2 linked regions of the Oryzias latipes genome follow. The protein of the gene in region 1 purifies or fractionates together with the protein of each later gene. This does not show direct contact. Links are inferred from orthologs where the notes say so. Each region holds a gene or a part of one and is shown on either strand. Other genes may lie near its edges. The genes, in order: clp1 and tsen15.

Region 1 (4,606 bases):
AGTTTTGCAAGGATTCGTTTTCTAATATTTTGCACCTGACGCAAGGTAAACGAAGAAAAAAAAAGGAATGACAGTTTCTAAGAAAATCTTGACAATTTCTGGATAAACATAGAAAAATGACTCAGATTAACCACACACTAAACAATGAATGCTAAATCTTTGTTCTTTTAAACGAAAATAAATACAAAAGATACTTTTTTTCTTTCCATAACAAAGAATACTTTTTTTATTTAAGGAACTGAAAAAAATGACATGACAGATTTTGCATTTGTACATAAAAGTTTAAAAATATGTCATCATTTACAACAAATTGCTGAGGTACTTTGTTACAGAGGTTTTTTACAAAACACCAAAAACTTTTAAACAAATGCACCCATCTCTCCTCACTTCAAGTATGTTCTGCATTACTTCATGTCCATAAAGCGTATGTCCATGATAAGCAGAGTGTGTCTGGGGAGAGGTCTGGGTGCTGGGGATAACACTTTCATCACCTGTGTCTGAGTGTCAACAAAAGTTACCACAATAAAACCACACACAGGAATCTCCACAATGCTCTTTCTTGCACCTTCGTCTCCGTCGTCAACGCTGCTCACGCTCAGAACATGGTACGTCAGGTCTCTCCCTGGTGTGACAGGCACCAGCTTTAGCTGCGTATCGTCCTGAGACATCCCTAGAGGTAAGCACGAGTCTGGGATAGACGGTGCACCAATTTTGTAAATGCGGACGTCAGAGAAGCGCACCTCATAGGAAAAGGGGTAGTAGGACACTCCACGGAATCCATAGAAATACTCGCGGATCTTTTCATCCCTGGTGTCCCGCCGGCACTCTTTGGAGCGCTCCACCACCCCCCCAGACTTGGGCAGAAGTACAACTCGCACAAAGTGGGGCAGGTCGCGTTTAAGCTCATTGTAGAGCCTTTCGTGGTCCAAAACCAGCACCACATCCACCTGAAAGGTGGAGGCACAGTGGACCAAAGCCTGGTATCCTGAACCCTTCACCCAGCCGCAGGTGTTGATGATGCAGCCTCCTACGCTGGCCTTCCTGTTTACCTCACAGCGCTGGGAAAACATCTCAGCGAGGCAGGATGTCAGCTAACCACAGTGATAAAAACACAAAAGCAGTAGAAAATAACAGCATAAATGATGACAGCCAATGACAAACATAAAATGACTGTATATCTACAATCTTCTAACCTTGTTATAAAGTTTAATGTTGGTGCCTGGAGTGGTGGAGCCAAAGTGGTAGACCAGAGGAGCCTGGACAGAGAAGCCCTCCTCCACATCCGCCGGCCGTTCAATGCACAGCGCTGACACCGTCCCTGGTACTGACACCTAAGAGAGAACAAAGTTTAGTCACACCTTACTGTAAATTCATTACACAATGAAATCTGAACTGTTCAACATTTACATTGCAGGTTTACAAAGACAAATAATCTGCATCCTACAAATAAAATAATGTACTTTTTGTAACAGGAAACAAAAAAAAAACTAACAAATGTACTTGCAGCAAGTCATTATACAGAAACACATGTTACAACAAGTAACAGTTCAACCATCTTAGAAGTACAATAGCTAAAAAAAAAAGAAAGAAAGAAAAAAAAGACCAATGAGCAACAAGATTGTGACTAGTGTTTTGGTAACTCCTTGACATTCAAAGATGATGCCTAGAAAACATTGAAATTAGTCATTGATGTACAAATATCTCAAACACACATTTTTGATTTATCACTGAAAATATGCAGTTTTTTTATATGAATAAATGAAACCAAATACTACTTAGCATTATGGATAACAGAGGACAAGACGATTAATTTTCAGAACTAACAAGTGATAACAAGCTTTGTTTCTTAATTTAAACCATTTACATTGGGAAAACTTTAAAAACTATAAAGATTAGGTCTGCACAACTTGTCTTATACTATCTAACACCATTCCCTGGACTATAGTAGCGAGGTTAAAACATTTAAAGTTGTGCAACTTTAAATGTACTTACACCACTTTGTCCAACATCCAGTTCCACAAGGGTTGGTCTCCTGCCAACCCTGACAGCGTAGTTGAGAAGCATTCGACACACTGTTGACTTCCCTACATCTGTGGGACCCACCACCATCACCTGGAAAGCCAGCAAATATGTATTTGTAATACAAAATATACAGAGAAGTTACATTTATAGGGGGGGATTTTAGCCATCTGGCTGCTCCTCACCCTTGGTCCCCTCTCATTTTCCCGTTCTGCTTGTTTTCTCATCTGTTCCAGGGCAGCGTGGGTGTTCAGGTAGAGCAGCATGGGAGTATCTTTAGACACATAGGCCACCTGAGGTTAAAAAAAAAATAATAGGTGATGTTTCGAAGTTAATATGGAGAACTGGACAGAAAAGACTGATTATTTATTTCATCCTAAACTCACCTCTGGCTTTCCATGAAGATTCACACTGCATCCTTGCCAGGTGAAAACAGCTATTTTGGATCCTGGTCCAAACACGTACTTCTTGTTGCGGTTCAGTTCTGAACCGAACACTTCAGCCAGTCCCGACAGGAGTTCCAGCTCCACTTGCTCCGCGGCCTCTCCTGCTTCCACCTCAAACCGAAGCTCGGTCTCCTTCTCCAAGTCGAATCGGGTGCAATCTTTGCCGTTAGCCGGAGCATCGTCGCTAGTTTTTTCTACAGACTCTGTTGCCATCGCTGTAGAAAGAAACGGTGTTATATAATCATAACAGGGTGCAACATGTAAAACAACAATATCGTTAAGTTAAAGGTAAATGCAACATTAATTAATAAATGGTCAAACAACACACGACAAGGCAAGCTAACTGATGATTAGCAGGAAAGGAAGAAATGTGGGGTTTTATGTCGAACAAATATAAATAATAACAGAGATCACCTAAATGTCTTCAAATTTGCTTAATGAATACAAAACTGTATAATTCGCGTCCTTATACTGATATATACAAAGCTTAAGCACAGAACCAAAAAATTGTGTACCCAGTGAGATGTTCGTCGCAGGATGATGACGTCAAGACTCTAGCAACCAATAGTAAGAAAGAACAGCGTTCTCGCTCGCTGCATTGCTGCCCCCTCGTGGTTGTGATTTATATTTCGTGATTTTTCTATAAACTGATTCTGTTTTGATTCCAGGGGCCTCATTTATAAACGTTGCGTACGCACAAAAGAAGGCGTACGCCACTCTCTACGCAATAGTTGAGATTTATAAAAAGCAAACTTGACGGGAAAATGTGCGGTCCTTCACGCAAGCTCTGACCCAGGCGTACGCACAAAAACGGATGAAATGAGAAACGGCGACGCCGTCGGCAGATGGAAGAAACACGTGAAAGTGAAAATGACAATACTGCCTCTGATAAATAACATGAAGACTTCACAAAGCAAGTCTTACAATTAACAGCCTACACGAACACCCGTTTGATCGATCAGCAGTGAAACAAACAAAAAAATCAAACAAAAATTACAACAGAAATTCAAATGAGCACATATTTGCAAAAAGAAAAGTGAAATATGTTCTGCAATATTGGCATGTTGTGCAATTCATCCTCATAAATAATATAAATAATATAGTTAACAGAACGAAATAATGTACACAACTGATATTCCCGTCAATGTGTCCGTCTGGCGGAGCAGATATAGGAGCAATCAGACAGACAGATGGATAGATAGAGAGAGATGCATTAATTCTCCACTGGGGAAAGTTGTTTTCATAGTAAAATATTTCTTCATAAGCTACAGAATTATGGTATTCATGCATATGCCTTTATTTTGTTTTATTTTTCATGAAACAATGTATGGCGTTTGTCTCGACCATTCAGAAAGCAACAAGAAATTACATTTGCGCTGAACAATTTCCCATTTCCACGTCGATTATTCCCGACATCTGTAGCTTGTCAGATGTAATTAAATGGAGGGAAATAAAATGCCCCATCACAATGCGTAATGACGCACAATGGCTGATCTTGCTCTCTTAGAAGATGTGGCAAATGGAAGAATTCGGAGTGAACGCATCTTTAGACAGCAAGGAGACTTGCTGGCAAACGAGGACGAGTGGCTTATGAGCCGGTTCCGACTTCCTCTGCGGGCTTTTGGGGGTGTGTCACCCGGTGCATCTGGCGCGTGGGTGTCCCCCTCCGCCTCAGTCACCACTCCACTTAAAAGGGATTCCCCAATTATTGCCGCCAGTCTCTCATCAGGAGGGGTCAGCTCCGGTGTCCCCCCCCCCCCCCACACACACACACACACTCGTGGCAGACACGGGTGTGTGTGTGTGTGTGGGGGGGGGGGGGTTCAGCGCTAGACGTTTTTTTGCCTCGACTTTGATGTCCGACCTTTTCTTTTTTATTTCGGGCACGGTCCGAGGTTGTGAGGCTGCAGCATTTTCGGCGTCTGCCGCCGTTTGCCACTCACGTGCCTTTTTGGCATTAGTAATGCCCACACTGTGCCCTCCAAACAACATTATTCTCCTCTTTTCCACCTCGCCAACGATAACTTCTACTTCACATTGAGTGAAGTTACGTTTTTTTGATTTTCTCTCCGTGTTTGGCATGGTTTCGCAATCAATGAATATTCATTTGTGGGCGTTTCACGGACTATTTATGGGCAACT
Region 2 (4,606 bases), on another chromosome or scaffold:
GGCCGAGCCCAGTCTGTGGCAGGACTTGATATCAAAATGAGCTCCTTCAGTGGATACAATTCATATTTGTGCAAAAAGCAATGAAAAGCTTTTTATTAATAGCTTTTGTTTTTCCAAATTCCTACATTTGGACATCTTTCATCCGCCTGTGTCTCATTATTGTAATCTGTTTTAATGTAGATCCGCCTCCGTTTTCTAGAAGAATAAAAGTAGTTTCAGTTTTTGTCCCTCAGGCTGACGCTGTTGTTTTTCCTTCAAACAGAAGTCAGAGTTTTTGAATGATTTTGACTCGTATCCCTTTCAGAAATGTTCTGAAACATGTGCGTTGTTTAGTGAGGCTGTTGAACTGCCCCCACCCAAATATATATATATATATATATAAATATATATATATACACACAAAGCCATTTTGTCTACAGGCATGTATGACTAAATAAAAGCCTTCCTTATATGAGAAAGAGCAGAACAGTTTCTTTCTTGGACACTTTGCACAAGCTTTCTTGATAAACTCTGACAGATGTGCATGTGCAGATTGCACAGCTTTCTACAAACCATGGAGGGGTTTTAACTGACAGAAGCCCAGACTGCAGCAGAACCTTCTCTGCCCCATCCATCATCACTAAGACCTACAGTTTGGTTTTTCTTTGACTGGAAAGCAACGTTTTTGAGGCACTTAGAAAAGATTTAGAACCTTTGGCTCCCTTTTCCCCATCGGTGTTCTGCAATTTAAATACACGATTGAGGCCTTGATGTCCACTCTGAGAATCAAAAAGTTATTTTCTTATCTGCATCCTCATAATTAACAAATACAGAAAGGGAAAACTGAAGGGAAGTGTGCATTTACGGATCACAGCTGGTTTAGATCATTTCTGCCTGAGAGGTTGATCAATGCTGCCAGTCAGGGCTTTGTAAAGCTTTATCTTTTAAGTCTGCAGGTTTCGTTTTCCTTTTTTATGGATACGGTTTTGTTTTCTACTAAAAGAATTAGGGAGACAGTATTCAAGTCAAACAAACTGTTTACTTTTTTTTTTTTTTACATCAGAGTGGAGTTTAATTCCAAACAGCAAAAACGAATCTTCTCATCAGAACCGCAGGCACTGGACTCCAAAAGTTTTGGCTTTCTGCTCATCAGAATCCTGGAAAAACACTGTCATGGCAACAGAAGTGATCGACGTGCTTCACAAACAGGCTGGTGAAGATGCGTTCGCTGACATCGGTAAACGGCAAAATGACTTTGGTTTTTGACTACTCTGAATAAAATAGCAGCTCTGTGGGAGAGAAGTCTGCGGTGTCCATTTTAGGGATCGATGTAGGTCTTTCAGTCCACGGTGGAAATGCTTCCACATATGTACCCCTAGAATGATTCACATTGCTCCAGGATGAACCCATCAGCTCCGTTTCAAAACATACGTTGATGGCAGCCAGTAGCCCGTCAGGTAAAAAACAACTTCTTCACCTTTTACCCCTCATCTTCTCACTGTGCTGCTGGAAGCTGTGCTGTCGCCTCTTGCGATGCTGCCGTCGATCCAAATCCTGAAAGGGGCCCACAGGGGGCTCCGGGGTCACCAGCCCATCCGTCAGCCTCTGATAGACCAGGGTGGAGTCCGATGCCACGGCACACAAAAGTACGGGGAAGCCCCTGTCCAGTACGCTGCAGATGCTGCTCAGGAGACAAACAGCTGCATGTCACAAACCCGTGAGCGACGGTTCAAGTCCCAACTCTCATTTGGTGACTCATCACCTGCTGTGGCTCAAGGACTGATGAGCGGGCAGGGGGAGGACAGTGTGAACCGGGGCCCCATCCTTCTCCTTCCCTTCCAGCAAGATTAATCGCAGCTCCGGACTTTTGACGGACGACACCTCCTTCCAGCGACGCACTATGTGAAACCAAATTCACTTTTTATAGTTTGACACCTTTTACTTTATTTTATTTTATTCAGATTTTAAAAATCTGAATAAAAAAAAGTTTAAATTAAATGAAAATTAACTGAATTTTGATATATTTTGATAAATTACTGTAGTTTTCTTGTTTTTGTTTGGAATGCATTTAAGACACTAATATATTATTATTAATAATCAGAAAAATAATTCAAAAAAGTAACAAAAAAATAAAGTATACACATGTGAAAAAAATCTGAATAAAAAAAAAGGTTTAAATTACATGAAAATTAACTTTTTTTAATCTACAAACATGATTTGGGATTTTTGAACCAATTAGATGTACAACTAAATACAAAATTACTTTTTACAGAAGAAAAATCAGCTTATTTAAAACATTGTAAACATCACAGGGTTTCATTCAAAATTTGAATTGAAGCTACTTAGAAATGTTTGAAGGAATACAAGCAAAATCCACAGTCATTCTAATGCATTTTAAACTTAAATTAAAACTTGTTAATAGCCACTTCTGTACTTTGTTATCTTTGTACGTATTTAAGCTCCCTTTATATTTAATGAAACATATCCAGGCTTCATCACATCACCCTCAGTCAGATCCATGCACACCAGAAAGGCAGCGTGCAGCTGCGCGCTGTCTGCGGGCTCCAGAGCCTCCATCTGCCGGTACTGAAACACAGGCAGGCCGCCGTTAGTTCCGCTCACAGCGAACCTTCACGGTCACGTTACTCCAAGCTCCAGGCCGCTCACCGCAGGGTGCTGCAGGATCCAGTTCGCGGGTGGAGCTTTCTCCACCGGAGGTACTGACATCTTTCAGTGTTTATCCTTTAATACAACTACTTGCGCACTACTATAACCGCACGTTTTCGCTAGGAAGGTTGAGCTTTAATTTTTAATGGGTACTACAATAAATGTCGACCGGATGGGAACACGCTCCTTCCTTTATGTTCCGCACCCCAATGAGGCGTGGAGGACCTTTTTATTTCAATAAACGTTATTATACGTTTTTCAATTTGTAGAAATTCACATTCAGCAGCACGATAAAGAAACAATTGTTAATATCAAAAACACATATAAGACCAAACAACAATAATAGTTTAAGCCCTGTGTGTGTGTGTGTTTTTTCTATAAATGGTCATATACAAACCAAGTTAGGGCGCTCAAACGCAATAAATGCGCATGTAGAAAAACAAAACAAAAAACAGGCAAAGGCAAGGCAAAAAACAATTCAAAATAACAATACTTTTGTTATATTTTGATAAATTACTGGAGTTTTCTTGTTTTTGTTTGGAATGCATTTAAGACACTTCTAATATTCAGAAAAATAATTCAAAAAAATACTAAACAAAGGACATGTATTTTACCATTTCCATAAATTAATGAAATGTTTGCATAGAATAATAACAACATTGATGACATCAGAAATTCCCGGGTCCAGATTTTCCGTACAGAAAAAAACATCAGGTAAGGAAAAAAGAGAATCATTAAAACTTTGTGTAACCAATTGTGAAAATCAGTCCAACATATTTTTATCTGGTTGCAACTGTAAAAGAGATATTCTAACGTTTCAGTTTCAGATGAACAGAACATGCATGGTTCCGATTGAAATTTAAATCTTTTATGTAAAAAATCTCCAACAGGGTAAATTTTAGATATTATTTTAAAATGCGTTTCTTTCATTTTAGGTGGATGTGGGTACTTTGTGTATAAAGAAAAGAGTTACTAATTTATTGTGGCATTTTTTTTATCTTTTAGGGGAATATCATTAATTTTCCGCTCTAAAAATTGTGGTTTGGTTGCATTGTATTGTAGTATGTTATGAATAAGATTGAGTGAAGGTGTGGGAATTGCTTTACAGACTTTGTTATAACAGTTACTAGAATCCTTCATTTTGTATTTAGTTACAAACTCATTGTATGATAACAGCCTTCCATCAGTGCGCATCAAGTCATAGACAAATCACACACCATTATCATACCATTCAGACATAAACAAGGATTTCTTGTTTACAGTTATAAATCTGTTTTTCCATAAAACAGTGTTGTGAGGGAAGAAGTTATGAGTGAAAAGCATCTTCCCAAATTCTAAGGCATGCTTGTAAAAGTTTGATGGTTTCATTGGCATTTTTGATAGATTATAATCGCATTTCAACAAAAACTCCAGTCCCCTGACTTTCTCAAAGAGTTTGTTTGGGATATGATACCACATAGAATGAGGCTGGGAAATACAATCTTTTAACCATTTCATTCTAAACGCTACAATTTGTGATTTAAGGTCTAAAGCTTTTAAGCCGCCATTTTTATAATCTCTGACCAGTTTTGGTTTTCATATATAGTGAGTCTTATTTTTCCAAATAGATTTAAGGAGAATAGAATTAGACAACTTGATGTTTTTTGGGGATGTACATGATGAGTGGCAGGGATACACAAGTCTTGAAAAAACCTCCGCTTTGGATAATAGAATGCGGCCAAATATTGATAAGCCAAGTCCCAACCAATGATTTCATGTTTTCTATATTGTTTTTAGTCTGGGAGTAATATTTACACTTTCTCTATCGTTACTGTTTTTTGTTATTATTAGACCAAAATATTTCACTTCACTTTTTACATGTATGTTTTCAATATTACCTGCATTGCAGGTATGTATAGGTAAAATTTCACATTTCTTTTAGATTTAGGGTAAGGCCAGATGCACTTGAAAAAGAAAGTAT

Evidence for each region.
Region 2: the proteins of clp1 (region 1) and tsen15 purify together in Homo sapiens (affinity purification with mass spectrometry; 4 studies listed by BioGRID and IntAct, counting the BioPlex papers as one, with this or other methods). This does not show direct contact. The link is inferred for Oryzias latipes from reciprocal best matches to the Homo sapiens genes CLP1 and TSEN15.

Annotation. Positions count from the first base shown.
Region 1 is NC_019868.2:14,103,752-14,108,357, forward strand, and holds clp1 (polyribonucleotide 5'-hydroxyl-kinase Clp1), read right to left. Parts: upstream 3,071-4,606; 5' UTR 2,981-3,070; intron 2,973-2,980; exon of another isoform or gene 2,880-2,972; intron 2,681-2,879; 5' UTR 2,679-2,680; coding exon 2,406-2,678; intron 2,313-2,405; coding exon 2,205-2,312; intron 2,113-2,204; coding exon 1,993-2,112; intron 1,332-1,992; coding exon 1,194-1,331; intron 1,092-1,193; coding exon 405-1,091; 3' UTR 261-404; downstream 1-260. UniProt on the Homo sapiens protein: Polynucleotide kinase that can phosphorylate the 5'-hydroxyl groups of double-stranded RNA (dsRNA), single-stranded RNA (ssRNA), double-stranded DNA (dsDNA) and double-stranded DNA:RNA hybrids. dsRNA is phosphorylated more efficiently than dsDNA, and the RNA component of a DNA:RNA hybrid is phosphorylated more efficiently than the DNA component.
Region 2 is NC_019875.2:13,673,613-13,678,218, forward strand, and holds the start of tsen15 (tRNA-splicing endonuclease subunit Sen15), read right to left. Parts: upstream 2,825-4,606; 5' UTR 2,707-2,824; coding exon 2,647-2,706; intron 2,566-2,646; coding exon 2,484-2,565; intron 1,878-2,483; coding exon 1,742-1,877; intron 1,661-1,741; coding exon 1,457-1,660; intron 234-1,456; exon of another isoform or gene 1-233. UniProt on the Homo sapiens protein: Non-catalytic subunit of the tRNA-splicing endonuclease complex, a complex responsible for identification and cleavage of the splice sites in pre-tRNA. It cleaves pre-tRNA at the 5' and 3' splice sites to release the intron.